4 linked regions of the Saccharomyces cerevisiae S288C genome follow. Changing the gene in region 2 together with the main gene of any one other region gives a genetic interaction. Each region holds a gene or a part of one and is shown on either strand. Other genes may lie near its edges. The genes, in order: RNA14, SEC23, SEC31 and SED4.

Evidence for each region.
Region 1: mutations in SEC23 (region 2) and RNA14 together harm fitness more than expected from each alone (negative genetic interaction), as found in Saccharomyces cerevisiae (2 studies listed by BioGRID).
Region 3: mutations in SEC23 (region 2) and SEC31 together harm fitness more than expected from each alone (negative genetic interaction), as found in Saccharomyces cerevisiae (3 studies listed by BioGRID, with this or other methods).
Region 4: mutations in SEC23 (region 2) and SED4 impair growth when combined (synthetic growth defect), as found in Saccharomyces cerevisiae (4 studies listed by BioGRID, with this or other methods).

The regions. Positions count from the first base shown.
Region 1 is NC_001145.3:390,693-395,584, forward strand, and holds RNA14 (cleavage polyadenylation factor subunit RNA14), read left to right. Parts: upstream 1-2,062; coding exon 2,063-4,096; downstream 4,097-4,892. Other genes in the region: ferroxidase FET3, read left to right, coding at 1-40; SEN15 (Sen15p), read left to right, coding at 407-793; SAM complex subunit SAM37, read right to left, coding at 840-1,823; ARG7 (glutamate N-acetyltransferase), read right to left, coding at 4,362-4,892. UniProt on the Saccharomyces cerevisiae protein: Component of the cleavage factor IA (CFIA) complex, which is involved in the endonucleolytic cleavage during polyadenylation-dependent pre-mRNA 3'-end formation and cooperates with the cleavage factor NAB4/CFIB and the cleavage and polyadenylation factor (CPF) complex.
Region 2 is NC_001148.4:896,222-901,622, reverse strand, and holds SEC23 (GTPase-activating protein SEC23), read left to right. Parts: upstream 1-1,955; coding exon 1,956-4,262; downstream 4,263-5,401. Other genes in the region: DPM1 (dolichyl-phosphate beta-D-mannosyltransferase), read right to left, coding at 65-868; mRNA splicing protein SMX3, read right to left, coding at 1,169-1,429; E1 ubiquitin-activating protein AOS1, read right to left, coding at 4,619-5,401. UniProt on the Saccharomyces cerevisiae protein: Component of the coat protein complex II (COPII) which promotes the formation of transport vesicles from the endoplasmic reticulum (ER).
Region 3 is NC_001136.10:105,322-112,370, forward strand, and holds SEC31 (Sec31p), read left to right. Parts: upstream 1-1,886; coding exon 1,887-5,708; downstream 5,709-7,049. Other genes in the region: ASF2 (Asf2p), read right to left, coding at 1-1,173; SNF3 (glucose sensor), read left to right, coding at 6,259-7,049. UniProt on the Saccharomyces cerevisiae protein: Component of the coat protein complex II (COPII) which promotes the formation of transport vesicles from the endoplasmic reticulum (ER).
Region 4 is NC_001135.5:232,145-238,625, reverse strand, and holds SED4 (GTPase-activating protein SED4), read left to right. Parts: upstream 1-2,303; coding exon 2,304-5,501; downstream 5,502-6,481. Other genes in the region: triglyceride lipase ATG15, read right to left, coding at 1-1,412; E3 ubiquitin-protein ligase RAD18, read right to left, coding at 5,663-6,481. UniProt on the Saccharomyces cerevisiae protein: Putative guanine nucleotide-exchange factor (GEF) involved in the formation or budding of transport vesicles from the ER. Positive regulator of SAR1 probably through inhibition of the GTPase activation by SEC23.

The sequences.
Region 1 (4,892 bases), on a different chromosome or scaffold from region 2:
AAAGCATCAATTTTTAACTAAAGCCAAACGGTTCTTCTAATAAAGGAAGATCATGTATTTTGCGGTTAACCTGTTTTTTTTTTTTCGGTCAAGGGTTCCAAATGCATTTGCATGTAAAGTGAATGCCCTTGTCTTACTTAATATTACATAGACATATACTTAATAATCTACCACGTTTCAAATTCAATAATGCATGCTTCTTGGCGGTTTTTGACATGAGATCCTCATCTGTCACGAGGCTGATGTGCATACTTTTACTTTTAATCGATGACATGATCAGTTTCTTTTGAACAAAAAGCCGTTATGGGTTGAAAAAAAGTGAAAATGAAAAAGTCATCAGAAATATATGAAAGATATAATAAATTGTCGAAGAGAAATTACGTCGAGGAGGTTGAGGAAAATAAGAATGGCAACGACAGATATCATATCTCTAGTAAAAAATAATTTACTCTATTTCCAAATGTGGACGGAAGTGGAAATTTTACAAGACGATTTATCATGGAAGGGAAATAGCCTGAGATTACTGAGAGGTCGTCCGCCTCACAAGCTGAGCAACGATGTAGACACAGAGCATGAAAATAGCTTGTCATCGCCACGCCCGCTAGAGTTCATATTACCCATCAATATGTCACAGTACAAAGAGAATTTTCTCACTTTGGAATGCTTGAGCCAGACATTTACTCACTTATGTAGTCCATCTACTGAAAGAATACTGCTGGCCATAATTAACGATGATGGTACAATTGTTTATTACTTCGTTTATAAAGGAGTACGAAAACCGAAAAGAAATTGAAAAATGAACTTAAAGACACCTTTCTGCATTATTTTGTTTATTTTTATTATATGTATTTACAGGCTAAATTATATAATGACATCACAACGTTTCCTTGCTCTCTAAATTGAGGATCTCTTTGCTCCAAGTTATTACTTGGTCTATGGACGAAGTCATCAATTTTGTTCGACATACTATTCAATAATTCACTTCCAAAGGTTTGTTCCAGTTTTGAACGGATGCGGTTACCATCAGGTAGGCCTAACTGAACGTAAAGATTTGCAAGGAAAAGAAGGTCGGAGGAAAGTATTACAGAATCATCCAGTTTTTTACGGGCAGCCAACCAATTGCTGACGCAACTCTGTAGTCTATTATCAAATTGAAGATTATATTTCACCTGTTGTAGCTCTTGCTTACCCTTAATTTTGTTCTTATGCGCAATTTTGAAGGTCTTTGATTGTGCTAGTTGCGAGGCTGACTCCATTGCTTTACTTTCTACAAATTCTTCATCATCCTCAAGGGTCAGTGAGCCTATAATCTCCTCACAATTTTCACGTGCTTGCGATCTTAGTTGCAATGGCGTATTATACCACATAGGAAAATATAGCAATTTTGAAAACAACTTCTTGGTATATTCATTGTAATTTTTGGTGTTCAAAAAGAGCTGGTAGTCCGTTAGTCTGGAAATTTCAACGTCAACATAATTCAATAGGGAATACTCTAAAAGGCGATCCTTTTTTCTAACAATTGCTAAATCTTCTTCATAATCCGTACCTTTCTCATATTTGCTAGTACATATATTTTTATGTAAGAATTGTACGATGTTCACGTAACCAGATACTTTCGTTCCATTATCTAAAATTAACACTGGTAGTTTTCCATCTGATGATAGGTCTGTATTGTTTGAGAATACGATCTGCAATCCCGCAACCATACTCTTTGCCTCTTCTGAAGTACATAACTTGATAAACCATACAAGCGCAATGCTGTCCACTGAAATCAACGATGCTTTGCCATCCTTTCCCCATAAATGCACACTACCTTTAACCATTACTGACTCGATAATAGCCTTGCTTTGCGTTTATTTGAAAAATACAAATTCCAGCATTAAATAGTAGCCATTCTAAATAGCTTATTTCTTATTACATTTCCCACTTCGTTTAAAATGATAACAATCGTGACAAAATTGTCGGTTACCTTGTAATAATTAAGAAGAAAAGTGTAGCTTGTGTGATGAAAGAGTATTCTACAACGAAATAAAAGGCCAAACTGGAGAGTCAAACAAGAGATATGTCCAGCTCTACGACTCCTGATTTACTATATCCCTCTGCGGACAAAGTCGCAGAGCCTAGTGACAATATACATGGAGATGAACTACGACTTAGAGAAAGGATTAAAGACAATCCCACGAATATTTTATCATACTTCCAGCTTATTCAATATTTGGAAACTCAAGAGTCATACGCTAAGGTGAGAGAAGTATACGAGCAATTTCATAACACATTCCCGTTTTATTCACCTGCGTGGACTTTGCAACTAAAGGGTGAATTGGCAAGAGATGAATTTGAGACTGTTGAGAAGATTTTGGCTCAATGTCTTTCTGGCAAGTTGGAAAATAATGACCTATCTCTTTGGTCAACATATTTGGACTACATACGCAGAAAAAACAACTTAATTACTGGTGGACAAGAGGCGAGAGCTGTTATTGTCAAGGCATTCCAACTAGTTATGCAAAAGTGTGCAATTTTTGAACCCAAATCATCTTCTTTTTGGAACGAATATCTCAATTTTTTAGAGCAGTGGAAGCCATTCAACAAATGGGAGGAGCAACAGCGAATTGACATGCTCAGAGAATTCTACAAGAAAATGCTATGTGTTCCTTTTGATAATCTAGAAAAAATGTGGAATAGATACACTCAATGGGAACAAGAAATAAATTCCCTAACAGCCAGAAAATTTATTGGCGAGTTATCAGCCGAATACATGAAAGCCCGTTCCTTATACCAGGAATGGTTGAACGTTACTAATGGATTGAAAAGGGCATCTCCAATTAATCTGCGCACAGCAAACAAGAAAAACATACCACAACCAGGTACCTCAGACTCAAACATTCAGCAGTTACAGATTTGGTTGAATTGGATAAAATGGGAAAGGGAGAATAAGTTGATGCTTAGTGAAGATATGCTATCACAAAGAATCAGTTACGTTTATAAACAAGGTATTCAATACATGATATTTTCTGCTGAAATGTGGTACGATTATTCAATGTATATATCTGAAAATTCGGATCGACAAAATATCTTATATACTGCGTTATTAGCTAATCCCGACTCACCTTCTCTTACATTCAAGTTATCCGAATGCTACGAACTGGATAATGATTCTGAAAGTGTTTCTAACTGTTTTGACAAGTGCACTCAAACTTTACTATCGCAGTATAAAAAGATCGCCTCCGATGTAAATTCGGGTGAAGATAATAACACAGAGTATGAACAAGAGCTGCTATACAAACAGAGGGAAAAATTAACATTCGTGTTTTGCGTGTATATGAATACGATGAAAAGAATATCAGGACTATCCGCAGCACGTACTGTATTTGGTAAATGTCGTAAACTGAAGCGTATATTAACACATGACGTCTACGTGGAAAATGCATATTTAGAATTTCAAAATCAAAACGATTATAAGACTGCTTTTAAGGTTTTAGAATTGGGTTTAAAATACTTCCAAAACGATGGAGTTTATATCAACAAATACTTAGATTTTTTAATATTTTTAAATAAGGATTCGCAGATCAAAACCTTATTTGAAACATCAGTGGAAAAAGTGCAAGATTTAACCCAGCTGAAGGAAATATACAAGAAAATGATAAGTTATGAATCGAAATTCGGTAACTTAAACAACGTTTATTCTCTAGAGAAAAGATTTTTCGAACGGTTCCCCCAAGAAAATTTGATTGAAGTTTTCACAAGTCGTTATCAAATTCAAAACTCCAACTTAATAAAGAAATTAGAGTTAACTTATATGTATAATGAGGAAGAAGACAGTTACTTTTCTTCTGGAAACGGGGATGGCCATCATGGCTCTTACAATATGAGTTCGTCAGATAGAAAGAGACTAATGGAGGAAACTGGAAACAATGGAAACTTCTCCAATAAGAAATTCAAAAGAGACTCAGAGCTTCCAACAGAGGTTCTTGATTTATTGAGCGTTATACCAAAACGTCAATATTTTAATACAAATTTACTCGATGCGCAGAAATTGGTGAATTTTTTAAATGATCAAGTAGAGATTCCAACAGTTGAGAGCACCAAGTCAGGTTAACATTACGTTAATAAATAGGTATATATGAATATTTATACCAACACATCTATTATAATAGGCGAACCTCTGTATGTAATTAAGTAAAAAAAAAACGATGTGACAGGATAGTTAAGGTGCCTCGTACATAAATAAAAACGGAAATAGTTAATTCTTTCAAAAATATGGCAATAGCCAAACTCATTCAGAAGGTACAGGAAACACTCTGTTTCTGTGCGTTTATATAACCATGCTTATAAAAGAAAGATTGAACAAAATATACATGAATTTATGAACGGTAATCACCGTTAATTGTTACATATTCATGTGATAAATCACAAGTCCAAAATTGTGCTGCCTGATCACCGGTTCCCAAGTCGACAGACACTTCCAAATCATTCAAAGCCAATATTTCAGAAGCCCTTGTTTCATCGATCTCCAATTGTGGCACACCATTAGCGACAAGCTTCAGCTCACGAGGTTCTGAATTGTCGGTAGCAATAAAGCTAACATTAATTTTGTTGACATCTAGAGATTTTAAGTCATTCAGCTTTGCATACCCGATCGCGCACAATATTCTTCCCCAATTGGCATCTTGCCCATATAGTGCGGTTTTGACCAACATAGAGTTTGAGATTGATTCAGCAATTATTTTGGCGTCTTCAAAATGCAAAGCATTTTTAACGTTAACAGTAACAAACTTTGTCGAACCTTCACCATCGCGAACGACTAACTGGGCCAAGCGCTGAGCAAATTCTGTGACCTGCAATTTTACTTGTTCAAAATCTTTAGAGTCTTCGTTAATTTCTTTGGTGTCAAT
Region 2 (5,401 bases):
GAAAGGGAGTACTTAAAGAGACATATAAAGAAAGATTTTTTTTTTTCGTTACCATTCACTTCCTTTAAAAGACCAAATGGTATAGCTGGTAGCAAACGTAGAAGAACAGAATGGACCAGAAAGTAATGAAAAGGATAAGGTTATTGGCGCCAAACTTGAAGACGTAGAGCTCCTTAAGTTGTTGCAAGTATTGGATAATGACTTTACCTGACAGTTTGGATTCACCTTCCGTTCTCACGCCGAAAGTGAATGGCACTTCGCCGATCGCCACTCTAGGGTCTCTTGGAAGAGGAAGCTTGGCGAGAAGCTCGAGGGCAATCTTGAAACCTTGCGAGTTGATGTCCCTAGGGTTGCAGTTTTCGAGGTACTTCTTTTGTAGACCGAAGAACCCGCTCATGGGGTCGGAGGCGATGGTCAAAGGTCTGGCCATCATTCTAGCAGTGGAGGAAATGACGCGTCTGTACATAGGCCAGTCCTTGTCAATGCCGACACCTGGGGCATATCTGGTGCCCAGAGTAAAGGCGTGATCGTGCAAAGACTCGAACAACTTGGGCACGGTCTCTGGAGGGTGTTGTAGGTCTGCGTCCATGCATACCAGGTACTGACCCTTGGCCTCGTAGAAACCCTTAAGCACGGCGGAGGATAGACCACGTTCATTTGTCCTGACGATGATGCGGACGTTGTAGCCTTGGTGAGCTAGGGCGTCCACCTCCTCAACGGAGCCATCCTGTGAGTTGTCATCGACAAAGATCAACTCGGTCTTCTTGGCCATTTCAGGGCTCATGCCGGCAAACAATCTGGTTGTTAAGGGTTTGATGTTCAGCTTTTCATGGTAAGCGGGAACGATAACAGAGTATTCGATGCTCATTGTGGGTGCGTGTATGTTTGTGTGTAATTGAAGCGATAGCGTTATTACAATAGCGGTCTATATGAGTTAGGAACACGTAAGAATACTGAAAATTTTTCAAATACTGGAAATCCTTTATTTTTCCACGCTATTTGTCATGCGAGGGAAATCCAGAGGCAGGAATAAGGAAGAAAAATAGAACAATATAAAGCAAGAAAATAAAAAAAAAATACGCGATGCGAGTGCTATAGAATGATATTGTATTACAGTAGAGGGCGTATGTAAATATACTGGTATGTAAGGGAGATGAGCACAGTCGTCTTAGTTCGGCAGCTCCCTGATGTACAGCACGTTATTGCAGCGGATGAATATCTCGCCCAGGGTGCCGTGCGAGACACCCGCAACAAACTCTTCTGCTTCGTTCAGCTGCAGGTTAAAGTAGTTGTCCGTGGACACGAGCGTACCTCTATATTCGGTGCTGTTGAACTTAAGCTTGACGCCTACACGATGGTTGACCAGGCCTTTGAGGAACGGCTTCGGGTTCACCGGCTGCATCGCGCTGATATCACTGCTCTCGCTCATTGTCTTGTTGTGTTGTGACGTAGTGTGTGGTGTGGTATAGTACGCGGTGCTGTGTGTGCTGTGCTGTTTTTGCGTTGCTCATAGAACCGTTGTTTCTTGCTCTTACCATCTCATGTTCATATATGTTGGGGAAAAGAGGTGGAACAAGAAAAGTTACCCGGACGGCAGAGCGGTTGTTTTGCCTGCTTTGCCATAATACAGGATGGGATCACACACCCCCCAAGCCATGCTACAACTTGGAAGAGTGCAATTCAAGTTGGTTGTCCTCAGTAGTTTGAGAGATTGCGCTAATTTTGTTTTATCACCGTTATTTACTGTCAGTTGAGATTTGTCGCTTGCGACGACTAGCCCGCCGCCTCTCGTTTGTTACAAAGGAGGAAAGTTCTAGCAAGAATAAAAGAAAAACACGTTTGAAAAAAGAAAAAAAGATACTTGTTGTGATCTTTCCACGTTCAGCAAGACACACAATTAACTGAAGCCAGTGTTTATCTGTCTGTCGCCTGCCTCCCCTTCCTCTTTTCTAGCCATGGACTTCGAGACTAATGAAGACATCAACGGGGTCCGTTTCACCTGGAACGTGTTTCCCTCTACTAGAAGCGACGCTAACAGCAACGTCGTCCCTGTGGGCTGTTTGTACACACCTTTGAAGGAGTATGACGAATTGAACGTTGCCCCATACAATCCAGTTGTGTGTTCCGGTCCACACTGTAAGTCGATTCTAAATCCTTACTGTGTGATTGATCCGCGCAATTCGTCCTGGAGTTGTCCCATCTGTAACTCCAGGAACCATTTACCTCCACAGTACACCAACTTGTCACAGGAGAATATGCCGCTAGAGTTACAGTCCACCACCATTGAGTACATCACCAATAAGCCCGTTACCGTTCCTCCCATTTTCTTCTTTGTTGTGGATTTGACTTCGGAAACCGAGAACCTCGATTCGCTAAAGGAGTCTATCATCACTTCTTTGTCTCTATTACCTCCCAACGCGCTGATTGGGTTGATCACTTACGGAAACGTTGTTCAATTGCACGATCTGTCCAGCGAAACTATTGACAGGTGCAACGTGTTCAGAGGAGACAGGGAGTACCAGCTCGAAGCGTTGACGGAAATGTTGACCGGCCAAAAGCCTACCGGCCCCGGCGGTGCTGCATCTCATCTACCGAACGCCATGAACAAAGTTACGCCCTTCTCTTTGAATAGGTTCTTCCTGCCCTTGGAACAGGTCGAGTTCAAACTGAATCAATTACTGGAAAATCTGTCTCCAGACCAATGGTCTGTTCCAGCGGGTCATAGGCCATTAAGGGCCACAGGTTCCGCTTTGAACATTGCATCTTTGCTTTTACAGGGCTGCTATAAGAACATCCCAGCAAGAATCATTCTTTTCGCCTCCGGTCCAGGCACCGTGGCCCCAGGTTTGATTGTTAACTCAGAGTTAAAAGATCCCTTAAGATCCCACCACGACATCGATTCTGATCACGCGCAACATTACAAGAAGGCCTGTAAGTTTTACAACCAGATTGCACAAAGAGTTGCCGCCAATGGACACACTGTTGATATTTTTGCCGGTTGTTACGATCAAATCGGTATGTCTGAAATGAAACAGTTGACCGACTCTACTGGAGGTGTGTTGTTGCTAACCGATGCCTTCTCTACCGCGATTTTTAAGCAATCATACTTGAGATTGTTTGCCAAGGATGAAGAAGGGTATTTGAAGATGGCTTTCAATGGTAATATGGCAGTCAAGACAAGTAAAGACTTGAAGGTACAAGGTTTGATTGGGCATGCTTCTGCTGTAAAGAAGACAGACGCTAACAACATCAGTGAATCTGAAATCGGTATAGGTGCAACGTCCACCTGGAAGATGGCTTCCTTATCGCCTTATCACTCGTATGCGATTTTCTTTGAAATTGCAAACACTGCGGCTAATTCTAACCCAATGATGTCTGCCCCTGGTTCAGCAGATAGACCTCATCTAGCATATACTCAATTCATCACTACTTATCAACACTCCTCTGGTACCAACCGTATCAGAGTCACCACGGTCGCAAACCAGCTTTTGCCCTTCGGTACTCCTGCCATTGCAGCTTCTTTCGATCAAGAAGCTGCTGCCGTTTTGATGGCTCGTATTGCTGTTCACAAGGCTGAAACCGATGATGGTGCAGATGTTATTAGATGGTTAGACAGAACTTTGATTAAGCTATGTCAAAAGTACGCCGACTATAATAAAGATGATCCTCAATCTTTCAGGTTGGCTCCAAATTTCTCACTGTATCCTCAATTTACCTATTATTTAAGAAGATCCCAATTCTTAAGTGTCTTTAACAATTCTCCGGATGAAACTGCATTTTATAGACATATTTTCACAAGAGAGGATACGACTAATTCTTTAATCATGATTCAACCAACTCTAACTTCTTTCTCAATGGAGGACGATCCACAACCGGTATTATTAGACTCTATCTCCGTCAAACCCAATACCATTCTATTATTAGATACATTTTTCTTCATCTTAATATACCACGGTGAGCAAATCGCTCAATGGAGAAAAGCCGGTTACCAAGACGATCCACAGTACGCAGATTTCAAAGCTCTTCTTGAAGAGCCAAAATTAGAAGCCGCAGAATTGTTAGTAGATAGGTTCCCGCTACCAAGATTCATTGATACTGAAGCCGGTGGTTCTCAAGCCAGATTCTTGTTATCTAAATTGAATCCTTCCGATAACTATCAAGACATGGCGCGCGGAGGATCTACAATTGTCTTAACAGATGATGTTTCCTTACAAAATTTCATGACTCACTTACAACAAGTAGCCGTCTCTGGTCAGGCATAGGAGCAACGGCTTTCTTTTGTTTTATTTGATCGTTATTAGGCTTTTTGTATAATATAAGGCCTGTTCAGTCCATTGCGCGTGCAAGAATTTTCCTTTGGACCTGAACGAAAAGAGTAGAGGATTTTATATAATATATTCTCCGTCTTTTTTGTACTGCGTGGCCTTTACTACGAATATCTGTATCTAATTTCTTTTCTAACTTTTTTATTACCATTACTACTACTACTATTATTATTATTATTATTATTATTATTATTATTATTATTGTGTATGACTATAATGCTTTACTGCCTCCAATTATGCTTTTTTTATTATTTTTTTTGGCTGAAACTACAGTATAGTAGGTATGTATATATCTAAAACTCAAAAAGTGGCATGTCTAATGTAATACCATCAAAAACAATGAAATTATTTAATGGAGATAGCCTTTTACCTAGAATGTTAATGACATCCTGCGCTACAGCACCCCCTATAATGGCCGCGACAGGAGCAAACTCGATACCTTTCTGTTTGATAAACTGTTGTATGTAATCGTCCTTTACCACTGTTGCTGGTACACCCAGATTTTCACACCATACGGCCGCATCTCTTTTCATTTGTTCAAAGCTTATGGCCTTGCCCTTTTGGTTGAGACCATATTGCAATAAGGACAGGGTTAACGGCAAGATACTAGTGACTCTTTTTAACTGTCTTTGCGTCATTTTTTCCTTTAATGTTGCTGTGCTTAAAACTTCGTTCAGTGGCCTATAGCAGTTCTTGGTCTTGATTCGTTCATATGTTTTTTTTTCATCTTCTTCATCTTTTCTAGTAGTAACTTCTATAATGCTCCTATTGCTTGAAATGGGACCAACGGTGGTAGGTCTTACACTTTGCAATTTTTCATCCTCTGAAATGAATTCAATCAAATCAATAAAAACATAAGCGAACAATCCATTAGAACCAGCAACATATAATGGAATGTTTAGTTTTCGAGTTAATGTGTTAATTTTGATTGCTTCATCAATCTGCATTTCTGTAGCCACGACTAAATCAAACTGCTGAAAGAACTCTTCGTCCTTTTCTTGCAAATCCTGCTTATCAAAGTTCAACTCTATACGGGGGTTCAAGTCTTGAATTCTCTCTTTTGTTGCATCAATCTT
Region 3 (7,049 bases), on a different chromosome or scaffold from region 2:
GGCGAGTGGACACGATTTTTCGCTACCAAGTTTTTGGAATATGCCCAAATGGTGTTTGCGCTGGGCTGGTGGTAGCCGTTGAATTAATGATTGCACGTAACTCTGCAGTAGCTTGATGGTATTATTTTTTCTTTCTAAATGCAAGTGGGTAGTTCGGCTCCTCTCATCGGCCATTTTCTTATGCAACCTTAGATCTTGCAATTCCTGTTCCTGGATAGCGAACAAATCCTCTGGATTGTTTTCCTCAAAGGGGTCCACCAAAGTCACATTGGTGGGGATTTGTACTTGATTTTGTGTTTCTGTTTCTATTTGCCCCTTTGTTTCTGATTGTTGCGATAGTTCTGCTTGTAATGCTTCGATAGTCTCCCTCTGGTTAGCGATGCTTTTCTTGTAGGATAACATCGTGAGATTGGCTTTGTCGACCAGCTCAGGAATACATTTAAGATAGTCATCCTTTGCTTTAGCCTGCTTCTTCAAGTGCTCCAGTGATTTGGTTGCTTGTAGCAGTTGCATTTTCAAGTTATTCACTTTGATTTCGGAATTTTTTCTCACGTTATTCAGTTCTCGCCTCACTTTGGCCAGCTCTTTTGAGCTTTCTGCATCAAACACCTTGCTGTCTAAACTTAGTTCTAGTCCTTCGTAGTATTTTTCATGGAACGTGTGAATCTCATCTAACTTGGTGTTCACCGTGTTCTGGACGTTTTTGTAGTCCTGTAACTTGGCGCAGATTTCCTTCTTGAGATTAACAAGCAAAGTGTATTCATCGTAGTTGCGTTCTTCTTTGCTAGAGGGAAGTCGAACAAGTTCGATTCTCTTTTCAGCAGAGCTCTTGTGCGTTTCCTTTAACGCGTTGTTCTCATCCAGGATACTTTTCATTTTTCCATGTAAACTAGCCATCTTAATTTCATAGCCTATGATCTCGCCGGACAATAACTTGGCGCTAGACACTAAAGCGGCTTCATTTTCTCGGTAATGATTCACTAAAGATTGAAGCTCCTTGACTTTGCTTTTCATCTGCCTTAAAGATGACTTCTTTTGTACTCTTGAGCTGCTGAGGCCCTTCGTCACAGCCGCATATTCCTTGTCCGAGTTGAAAGATGAGCTCGACTCCTGATCACTACCATCTATCACACTGCGAGTGATGGCATCCAAGACACCACGATTTTTTGGCATAAGCACTCAGTCTTGGCCTTTTTCCCTCCTTTCTCCACTGATCGAAGCTGTGTGCAAAAATCGTCCCCGGTGTTTATTTATTTGTCCTATGGATAGATATGTTACTCACGCGTCGCGTCGCTCCTAAAGACATGAAAAGCGCTTTTACATCTTTGCTAATACTAGCATCGCAGAAGATCTTCTCCATTGCTATGCAACATACCTGCCTTGGTAGTTGGTTTCATAATTTACAATATACAAAGTTATATGCCCTCCGAGTCAAGGAAAAGATTGTCTTCCAAAAAAGGTGCAACTGTGCGTTTAGAATTGGTGGAGAATTATGTGATATGCTTCTTCACCGTCCTCTGCTTCTGCCTAATACCACACTCATCAATTGACTGGAGATCTGGCCTATCTTGCTACTACTTCATAGATTTTTTTTTTTTTCATCTATCCCCTTCCATCCCCTTCTGGTTCTACCCCTTCAGCGTGAAAAATCACCATACACGATCAATCCGCCCGAGAACGAAAAGTGAAAAGAACAAACAAGTCGTGTCAGATCCATTCCTCTATTCCTGTAGTCGGGTTGCATTCTGAATTTACACGTCACGAACCAGCACTATTTCGCTACTGTAGGTGTAGAACATTAGGACAAGGCAAGCTTCTGCGATAGACACTTTACTCACACATATTTCCCTTTGTTCCCGTTTGCTCTCCCTAATTGAACAATAAAGATGGTCAAACTTGCTGAGTTTTCTCGAACAGCCACGTTTGCGTGGTCACATGATAAAATTCCATTATTGGTCTCTGGTACCGTATCTGGTACGGTGGATGCTAATTTCTCCACTGATTCATCTCTAGAATTGTGGTCATTGTTGGCTGCTGATTCGGAGAAGCCTATTGCTTCCTTGCAAGTGGATTCCAAATTCAATGATTTGGATTGGTCTCATAATAACAAGATTATTGCTGGTGCTCTGGATAACGGTAGTTTGGAATTGTACTCCACCAATGAAGCAAACAACGCTATCAACTCCATGGCCAGATTTAGCAACCATTCTTCCTCTGTGAAGACGGTAAAGTTTAACGCAAAGCAAGACAACGTTCTTGCTTCGGGTGGTAACAACGGTGAAATTTTTATTTGGGACATGAATAAATGCACTGAATCGCCCTCCAATTATACTCCATTGACACCGGGTCAATCGATGTCGTCCGTTGACGAGGTCATTTCCCTAGCATGGAACCAATCTTTGGCCCATGTTTTTGCATCTGCCGGGTCGTCTAATTTCGCATCTATTTGGGATTTGAAGGCTAAGAAGGAAGTCATTCATCTAAGTTACACTTCACCTAATTCAGGTATCAAGCAACAGCTGTCCGTTGTTGAATGGCACCCAAAAAACTCCACAAGAGTGGCAACGGCTACTGGTAGCGATAATGATCCATCTATCCTGATCTGGGATTTAAGAAACGCCAACACACCATTGCAGACTTTAAATCAAGGCCATCAAAAGGGTATTTTGTCATTAGATTGGTGTCATCAGGACGAACATCTATTATTGTCCAGTGGTAGAGATAATACCGTTCTTCTATGGAACCCTGAGTCAGCCGAACAACTGTCCCAATTCCCAGCTCGTGGAAACTGGTGTTTTAAGACCAAATTTGCACCAGAGGCTCCAGACCTATTTGCTTGTGCCTCCTTTGATAACAAAATTGAGGTACAGACTTTGCAAAATCTCACAAACACTTTGGATGAGCAAGAAACCGAAACTAAGCAGCAAGAATCTGAAACAGATTTTTGGAATAATGTTTCCCGAGAGGAATCAAAAGAGAAGCCAACTGTTTTCCATTTACAAGCCCCAACTTGGTATGGGGAACCATCTCCCGCAGCTCATTGGGCTTTCGGTGGTAAATTGGTTCAAATTACTCCAGATGGTAAAGGTGTATCTATAACAAACCCAAAAATTTCAGGCTTAGAATCAAACACTACTTTGAGTGAAGCGTTGAAAACTAAGGATTTCAAACCATTAATAAATCAAAGACTGGTCAAAGTTATTGATGACGTTAATGAAGAAGATTGGAATTTATTGGAAAAGTTATCAATGGACGGTACTGAGGAGTTCTTGAAAGAGGCTCTTGCATTCGACAACGATGAATCAGATGCACAAGACGATGCCAACAATGAGAAAGAAGACGATGGGGAAGAATTCTTTCAACAAATTGAAACCAATTTCCAACCCGAGGGCGATTTCTCCTTGTCTGGTAATATCGAACAAACTATTTCCAAGAACTTGGTTTCTGGCAACATTAAGAGCGCTGTGAAAAATTCTCTAGAGAATGACTTACTAATGGAGGCCATGGTGATCGCATTAGATTCAAATAACGAAAGATTAAAGGAAAGTGTCAAGAATGCCTATTTTGCGAAGTATGGATCTAAATCATCGCTCTCGAGGATACTATACTCCATTTCTAAGAGGGAAGTAGATGATTTGGTTGAAAATTTGGATGTCTCTCAGTGGAAGTTTATCTCTAAAGCAATTCAAAACTTATATCCAAATGATATCGCCCAGAGGAATGAAATGTTGATTAAATTGGGAGACAGGTTAAAGGAAAATGGTCATAGACAAGATTCTTTGACTTTGTACTTGGCTGCCGGATCATTAGATAAGGTGGCTTCAATTTGGTTATCAGAATTTCCAGATTTGGAGGATAAATTGAAGAAAGATAATAAGACAATTTATGAAGCTCATTCCGAATGTCTAACTGAGTTCATTGAAAGATTCACCGTATTTTCCAACTTCATTAATGGAAGCTCTACCATTAATAATGAGCAATTAATTGCCAAATTTTTGGAATTTATCAACTTAACTACTTCCACAGGAAATTTCGAACTAGCCACTGAATTCTTAAATAGTTTACCAAGTGACAATGAAGAGGTTAAAACAGAAAAGGCACGTGTCTTGATTGCTTCCGGCAAATCATTACCGGCACAAAATCCTGCGACAGCGACGACCAGCAAAGCCAAGTATACAAACGCCAAGACAAATAAGAACGTTCCTGTACTACCAACTCCTGGAATGCCTTCTACTACTTCTATTCCTAGTATGCAGGCACCATTTTATGGTATGACACCAGGCGCCTCTGCAAATGCTCTACCTCCAAAGCCGTACGTTCCAGCAACCACCACTAGTGCTCCTGTTCATACAGAAGGTAAATATGCGCCACCAAGCCAACCTTCGATGGCGTCACCTTTTGTTAACAAAACAAATAGCTCGACCAGATTGAATTCTTTTGCTCCTCCGCCTAACCCATATGCCACTGCAACAGTTCCTGCAACGAACGTATCTACAACGTCGATTCCGCAAAACACTTTTGCTCCTATACAACCTGGTATGCCTATTATGGGCGACTATAATGCTCAATCTAGCTCTATTCCTTCACAACCTCCAATTAATGCTGTATCGGGTCAAACGCCACATCTCAACCGTAAAGCCAATGATGGTTGGAATGATTTGCCTTTGAAGGTCAAAGAAAAACCATCTCGTGCCAAGGCTGTATCTGTTGCCCCTCCAAATATCCTATCGACACCAACTCCATTAAATGGTATCCCTGCAAATGCTGCTAGTACCATGCCTCCGCCACCTCTTTCCAGAGCTCCCTCTTCTGTGTCAATGGTATCACCACCTCCTCTACACAAAAATTCTAGAGTCCCATCCTTGGTTGCAACTTCTGAGTCACCAAGGGCATCCATATCAAATCCATACGCTCCTCCTCAATCATCACAACAATTCCCAATAGGTACTATTTCTACAGCAAACCAAACGTCAAACACCGCTCAGGTAGCTTCATCGAACCCCTATGCTCCACCACCACAACAAAGAGTAGCAACCCCATTATCTGGAGGCGTGCCTCCAGCTCCGTTGCCAAAGGCCTCTAATCCATATGCTCCAACTGCAACCACTCAACCCAACGGTTCCTCCTATCCTCCAACCGGTCCGTATACTAATAACCATACCATGACCTCTCCTCCTCCCGTTTTTAACAAACCTCCCACTGGCCCCCCTCCGATTAGCATGAAGAAGAGAAGCAACAAGTTAGCTAGTATAGAACAAAACCCATCTCAAGGTGCTACTTATCCTCCAACCCTTTCCAGCTCGGCCTCTCCATTGCAGCCTTCTCAACCGCCAACTTTGGCTTCTCAGGTTAATACCTCCGCTGAGAATGTCAGTCATGAAATTCCAGCTGATCAACAACCCATTGTCGACTTCTTGAAAGAAGAACTGGCTCGCGTAACACCATTGACCCCAAAGGAGTACTCCAAACAATTAAAGGATTGTGATAAACGATTAAAGATTCTTTTCTACCATTTGGAAAAGCAGGATTTATTAACCCAACCAACAATCGATTGTTTACATGACCTCGTCGCATTAATGAAGGAAAAGAAATACAAAGAAGCTATGGTCATCCATGCTAATATCGCTACAAACCATGCTCAAGAGGGTGGTAACTGGCTGACAGGAGTGAAGAGGTTGATTGGCATAGCTGAAGCGACTTTGAATTAATTCAGTCTCAAAACTTTCAGTACAAAAAGTGGCGTATTGGCCTTGTTTTTTTCTTATTATGTCTTATAGTATTATATTTATATATTTATGTACTTATCCTTTTATGTTTAAACCTAATCAAGATCACAATTAGAACTAGCTTAACATTACTTCTCAAAACCAACCAATACCTCTTATATCTTTTTTACAGCCTTTCCCTTATGTTTTTACCATGTACACCTCGAGCGGCAAATCTCCGGGGAAATTTTAAACTTGCCGCATCGCACATTCTAAAGAACAAAAGGAGGAGGAACTGTCAATTATTCTATAATCTGGGGAAATTCAGTCATACTGAGAAAAACTAGACAATAGTCCTATCCTCGGCAAATTGCATTGATAGTACTTACACATCGAGAGATCATAGGACAGATAAGAAGCATTTTATTGAAGAAAAACAGAGAGAGTCACTATAAGTTGACCTCACTATAGAAATTAAAACAGAAAAGTTTTACTGAGGACCTTTTTAAACAGAAGGATATGCCTTTGTTGGCATAGAAAGAAGAATTTATAAATGGATCCTAATAGTAACAGTTCTAGCGAAACATTACGCCAAGAGAAACAGGGTTTCCTAGACAAAGCTCTTCAGAGGGTGAAGGGCATAGCACTGCGACGAAACAATAGTAACAAAGATCATACAACAGATGATACGACAGGTAGCATACGAACCCCTACGAGCTTGCAGCGGCAAAATTCTGACAGGCAATCTAATATGACATCCGTGTTTACGGATGACATTTCTACCATAGACGACAACTCAATTTTATTTTCAGAGCCTCCTCAGAAACAATCTATGATGATGTCTATATGCGTAGGTGTTTTTGTTGCAGTTGGCGGATTTTTATTTGGTTATGATACAGGTCTGATCAACAGTATTACATCTATGAACTATGTGAAGTCACACGTAGCACCTAATCACGATTCATTTACCGCCCAACAAATGTCCATTTTGGTGTCATTTTTGTCATTGGGAACTTTTTTTGGGGCTTTAACTGCACCATTTATATCTGATTCGTATGGCAGGAAGCCTACTATCATTTTCAGTACAATTTTCATCTTCTCTATCGGAAATTCTTTACAGGTAGGTGCTGGAGGAATCACATTATTGATTGTGGGAAGGGTCATTTCAGGTATCGGTATAGGCGCAATTTCAGCGGTTGTTCCATTATACCAAGCAGAAGCTACACATAAATCATTAAGAGGTGCTATTATTTCTACTTACCAATGGGCCATTACCTGGGGCTTGCTCGTGTCAAGTGCAGTGTCGCAAGGGACACACGCAAGAAACGACGCATCTTCGTATCG
Region 4 (6,481 bases), on a different chromosome or scaffold from region 2:
CTTGGAATAAACTTCCAGTTGTAGCAATCTACGCAGGGCTCTGGTTCAACGCACTTGGCAGCCTGCTCGTATCCAAGGAGAACTTCGTCAATGACTTTGTGGATTCTGTGGTTGAACATGTTTACACTCCAGCCCTTGTCGTTGACCACATCGTAGACACAGACTCTACCAGTGTGGCACGCGGTTTCCATAGCGTAGCCCACCAGTGAGCAACTTGAACTAGCTCCGTTGCATGTACCCATGAAGATTGGGTCTGCGTTGTGACCGAAGTGCCAGATACCCTCCATGTATGAGGGAAGTCCCGGTGGGAATGGTAAGTGAAGTCTTTTTGAAGGTAGTAGCTCTCCAGGGGACTCGAATGCGACCGCAGGCAATCCAAAAGTGCGGCCCAGTAAACTGGCCAATGCGCCTCCCAGTGAGTGGCCTGTGACCCATATGGCCGCATCGGGGTATTCTTTGAGGACGCCTTTGTATATGTCAACGACTGCAGAGTAAAATCTATCCTTACGTCTCAGTTCCTTTTCCAGGCAAGACTCATCGCATATATACGACTTCACATAGCAATCGCACACGGTAGTCCACAGGTAGCTCACTCTTGCACAACAACACGAAAATAACAAATTATCGTTGATCTTGTCGTTTCCAGTTGTCTCATCTTCGCCAGACCCTGGCAAACCCTGAGCGCTGGTTCCCTTTATCGAGAGTACCACGATATTCTCCACTTCATTGTAAAAGACGTGACCACGTATACCATCACCATCCCAACCAAAATCTTCCGGCTCTGTTTCATTCCACGGCTCCGTGACGTTACGCCAGTCTCCCGTTTGCGGTATTCTCACGTAAGCATTAGACGACATTAATGCTAACGACACTACTGTACCTCTATCTGTGATATTGGGTGCCACAATGTCATCATCTATCCACATGGCGTGTTCTTCCTCCTCCGTCATGTATGTTTCTCCGTAAATGTACGACTCTATGAATTCAGGATCTCTTTCCTTCATCCGCTTCATCAATAGCGGCATCCTTCGTAGCTCAAACTCAAAATCGAATGGGTTAGTGGTGGCATATTCGGCATTAGTAGTCCATAGGGGTTCTTGGTCTTCGAAATCCTGTCCTTGAGTTGTGGTTTCTTGATACAGCATTCCAGCGGCAGAAATAACTTCTGGAGTGACCTCCAGCCTCTGGTGTAGCCGATGGTTTGCTCCGACGCCATGCCTGTAGATAGACTTAAGTCTAAAGGTTCCATCAGATTTTTGATCCATGGCACCCCTGGATGAGCTCTTCCCTACCGATAAATAATCCGGTAAAGCAAAGTAGTAAGCAATAAGGCAGAGCACTGTAAGCGTTAGAATGCATCCTAGATGCAAAGGAGAAGCAAATCTCTTTCTTGAAGGGCTTTTATGCAACATTCAATAGAATATTTCCCTTGTTTCCTTTAATTGTAATGCCTAGATCAGTTCTCAATCACGATAACAATTTTCTGAGCAGCGGCGTACTTTCTTTGACTTATCCAAAAGGTTGACACTGATTTGAGTGTCTCAAAAGCCTTTAAATGATAGAAACAAGGCTTTTAGGCTAGTCTTATGTAATAGAGAAAGTTCATCTATATCTACAGATTCTTATTATGTACTGTTGAACAAAGGTGCGGGTAACTGCGATCACACAATCACTTTTTTCCGGAAACGGCTGTCTTCAGCGAACAACAATATAGTAGAGATACTGTATTCAACTGGAAATGCTTTCCCTTTTGCCCTATCATTATTTTCTTTCCGATGTTATGCTTATTATATCTGTGATTGATAAGAGAAAAAAAAAAAAGTGACAGCTATAGAGAAAAAAAAAAACCCTTAGAGAATCCTACCTGGAATATATTTAATGAGCAAGTCTATCTGCTGCACATTGGTCACGACACATGTTAGTGTATATGGCCCAGCCTATGTATTTACGATTTAAATCACCTTGATAATTATTAAACGATATCCAGTTTATTTCGTATTATGTTACATCTGTCAAGCCCTTACTTAGCAATTTTGAGCCCTAGTATTTTTGACCACATTTGTAACTGCCCTATTTTATTATCCTTTTAGCCCTCCTGTCCTTTTTTCTTGGTTGTAGTAATTTTCATTTATATCTCGAGAATTGTACAGTGTAAATGAGAACTGTGAACGCTTCAAGTAACCTACGCTTATAGCTGCTTCGATCGACGGAGGCTGTTTGTCAACAAGCATCACAATTCCCTACGATACGTCCTCTCTTCCTTTTTTTTCTCTCCTTTTAAACTTAGAAAAACTAGCATAATAATGAGTGGCAACTCTGCAAACTATGACGTCGGATATCCGATATATGGTGCTAAATTTATAAATGAAGGCACTCTACTGGTGGCTGGTGGTGGAGGCCAGTTCAATTCCTCGTTTCCAAACAAAATTACAGCTTTAAAGGTGAACTTCCAGAAAAAGAAACACATTAGAAGGTTTCGTGAGATCACATTAGATTCGATTGACGATGCGCCCACTTCATTGGATTGTAATAATAACCTGATTCTAGTTGGTTGCAATGAACTGTTTAATGATTCCTCCATGGAGAACGTTAACCACCACTTGAGGAAGTTTGTGTTTGAACAAGAACATCTAAAATTCGTGGCCAGTATTGATTTCAACAGAACTACAGACCCATCCGTTTTCACTAAGTTTGTTTACATTAATCAAAGGGCCACAGTAGCTGCAATTGCGTCCTCTGAAGTGCCCACTGTGATAAGAATCATTGACCCGCGTAATTTGACGGAAAATTACGAAATTGAAACGGGTAGGGAAGTTAATGATTTGCACTTCGCCCCTAACGGTATTCTTTTGTCATATATCACTTCTAATTCTTTGGAAGTAGCGTCTGTTAGGGACGGAAATTTTGTAGCAAGGAAAACGGATTTTGATAAAAATCTTGTTCTTTCTAATATCAGGTTTCTCAATGACAATACGCTATTAGTGGCAGCATCATTATCGAACTCTGATGGAGTTTCCTTGTTAAAACTAGGTGTGAGTTCCAAAGGTGTTAAAATTTTAAAAACAGCATCCTTCATGTTCGATTTGAATGGAATAACATCGATGGATGTCTCCCCAAATAAGAAGTTCGTTGCATTATCATCTAACGATAACTTGGTTGCCATCGTCAGCGTTGAAAAGCTAAAGCTTGTTCAGTTGGTTCCAAGAGTACATGAATCTACTATAACAAAAGTTACTTTTTCTCCAGATTCTAGATATTTGGCAAGCACTTCTATGGGGAACACGATCAACGTTCTGAAGCTTTCCGGTACATCGTCATCAATTTTACGAAATATTTGGAAATTTTTCTTGAATTTTGTTTTGTTAGTGGTTTTGGCTGGCGCTATTCAACTAGGCTACAAACATAATGTGCACGGCTTTATTTACAAACATGCTCATGATATATATAAGTCGAAATTCAAGGAAAACACTACCATAGACCAAGGATCTTCTTCTTATTTCACTATTAATGACGATTACAGAGGCATTACTGAAAGTGCAGATATCATCAGCGCTACAGATGTTGCTAGCGATATAGAGACTGAATTTTCCTCATTTGACACTAGCACTATGAGAACCACCACAGAAGATGAGCAAAAATTTGTTTGGATATCGTCATCAGCTGATTCACAATTCACTTCTGCAGATATCCCAACATCAGCTTCTTCTTCTTCTTCTTCTTCTTCTTCTTCTTTCTATGAAGAGAGTGTCACTAATGAACCAATTGTGTCTTCACCTACCTCTGAAATTACGAAGCCGCTAGCCTCTCCTACAGAACCGAATATTGTCGAAAAACCATCGCTTCCACTGAATTCAGAGTCGATAGATTTGTTATCCTCATCTTCAAATTCTATCACAGAATATCCTGAGCCGACTCCTGACTTGGAGGAGAAATTGTCCTCGTTAATAGTAGAACAATCAGAAAGCGAAATAACAACAGATAGAGAAAGCGTTTCAAAACTCTTAAGTACTGAATCACCTTCGCTATCACACATGCCGTCTTCATCTTCATCTTCATTATCTCTTTCCTCATCGTTAACAACTAGCCCTACTACAGCATTATCCACAAGTACCGCGACTGCGGTTACCACCACACAAACAAACCCCACCAATGATGCAGCCAACACATCTTTTCTAGACAACTCAAAACCGGCATCCACGAGAGAGATTTATAAGACAAAAATAATCACTGAAGTCATTACAAAAATTGAGTATAGGAATATACCTGCATCAGATTCCAATGCAGAAGCCGAGCAGTATGTTACAACATCTTCTTCAATGTTGTTGACGCCCACAGACACTATGGTTTCTTCGCCCGTCTCCGAAATTGATCCCATAGCATCAGAATTAGAGCGTATGGTTGAAACACCTACGCATTCTATTTCTATAGCATCCGAATTTGACTCAGTTGCGTCTAATTTGATCCCAAATGAAGAAATTTTGTCAACATCAGCATCCCAGGACTCTATTTCCTCGCATCCGAGTACATTTTCTGATTCATCTATAACCTCTGGCTTCCAGTCAATAGAAGTATCGACTGTAACTTCTTCTGTTCTTGCTTCTGAATCAATCCCTTCAATCTCAGATTCCACTTTTTCTAAATTTCATTCCATCTCTGAACCTGTTTCATCAGCTATTGTGGAGACGGCAACTAGCTCATTCTCAAAAACAGAAACGAAGACTTCGAGAGTAATTGCTTTCTCTACCGAGGATTCAGAACGCTCCAGTGCCTTGATTGATAATTCGGAATACACCAGTGTGTTGGCTGACAATTTGGAACCCACTAGTGTTTTGGCTGACAATTCGGAACCCACTAGTGTTTTGGCTGACAGTTCGGAACCCACTAGTGTTTTCACTGATGCTGTACAATCACCTAAGACGAGTGTTGGTCAATCTTCCCTATCAGAATCCACAAATATTGAAGGGACTTCTATGGCATCTATGATCTTTAGTAGTAGTGGTGCTTCAATTGGCGCTCTGTCTGATATAGGCAAGGGAACTTTATCCGTGGAGAGCGCGTCAAGCACAGTAGCTCAGCCGATGCCAGGTGTAACCACAACAGCACCATCTTTTGTAAGTAGCCCTCACAAAATATCTGCTAGTTCAATTGATGCATCAGGATTTGTACAGAAAGAAATAATGATAGAAGTACAGTCATCAAAAGATTCATCTGAAGCGTTTGGGGTACGCCACAAAATCAGCGAAAATGTAAATACTCCTGTTTCCCGAATGCTTACGACGGAAATGCAGGCATCTGGTACGGTAGATGTTACCGAAGACGTCTCTCTATCTAGTGAAGTTATTTCAGCACTTAACGTGGAGATCACTTCTTTGCCTAATCCAGTGGCCCCTCCGCAAACAATTGCAGCACCTTTGAATAATAATTCGAATACAAACATTGTCAACGATGATAATGCAGTAGCAGGAACCGTAAACTACGCTGGCCTTCATGACGAATTGTGAATAACGAAATAATATATATTAATGTTAAATATGATTACATAGCTTTGTGCACATATCTCTATGTCATCTTTTATGCATTTATATTTTGCCCATTTTTAAATAAATTATTAATTAACAAATGTGCACAAGCTAACAAACAGGCCTGATTACATATACACACCTTAATTGTTACCGGGTGGGTCTTTACTATATTCATTCAAGTCCATTAATTCTCTTGATAAGTCAGCATCAGTTGAATCTTCGTTAGGCAAATTTCTTTCACCAGCAACTCTATCTTCGTTGATAACAGTGTCCTGATCCTTCTCCATTTGCTGATCCTCGGTTCCCTGGTCACTTTGAACTTTTTCAACACCATCTCCATCATTAGAATGTCCCACTGAACCTGAACTGTCCGATGAACCTGTTTTTATTTTCATTTTTGCTTCCCTGATAAGCCTAGCAAAATCCTTCCGAAACATAACCATCCATCCTTTCCTATTAAATTTATCGTTTTTGAAATTTTCAAGTAATTTCCTATATGAAGAAGATTTCCCATTACTCTTCATTATCATTAATTTAGAAATTCCACCCTTGTTGCTACTATTTTGGGGGGTTTTATTGTGTGAAACATCCCAGCTTAACAACTGTCTTTTTAGTTCAGCTTCATCAACAGGTTCTAGAGAATCACAAAAATTAGAATTCCAAAGCATTTCGTAGTGATTGTATCTTTTAATCATGTTTTGCCTAGTACCATTAGTTGACAGTCCCAACGATGACAGTTTTTGTTTTATTTGGGATTGAGTCATAGACGTAAAATTGATCTTCGGCAATCTTTGGTGTTCTGCACTCATCATTGAGTTTAAATACTTATCCACATGTGAGGTCTCACCACATGAGCTTTTGTCGACTTCTGGAGTTCGTACCTTGAATCTGGATGAACTTTTGTTATGTGGATTTGACTCTGTAGGGAAAGTGGTAGAAATTTTTGGTTTTTTGCCTAG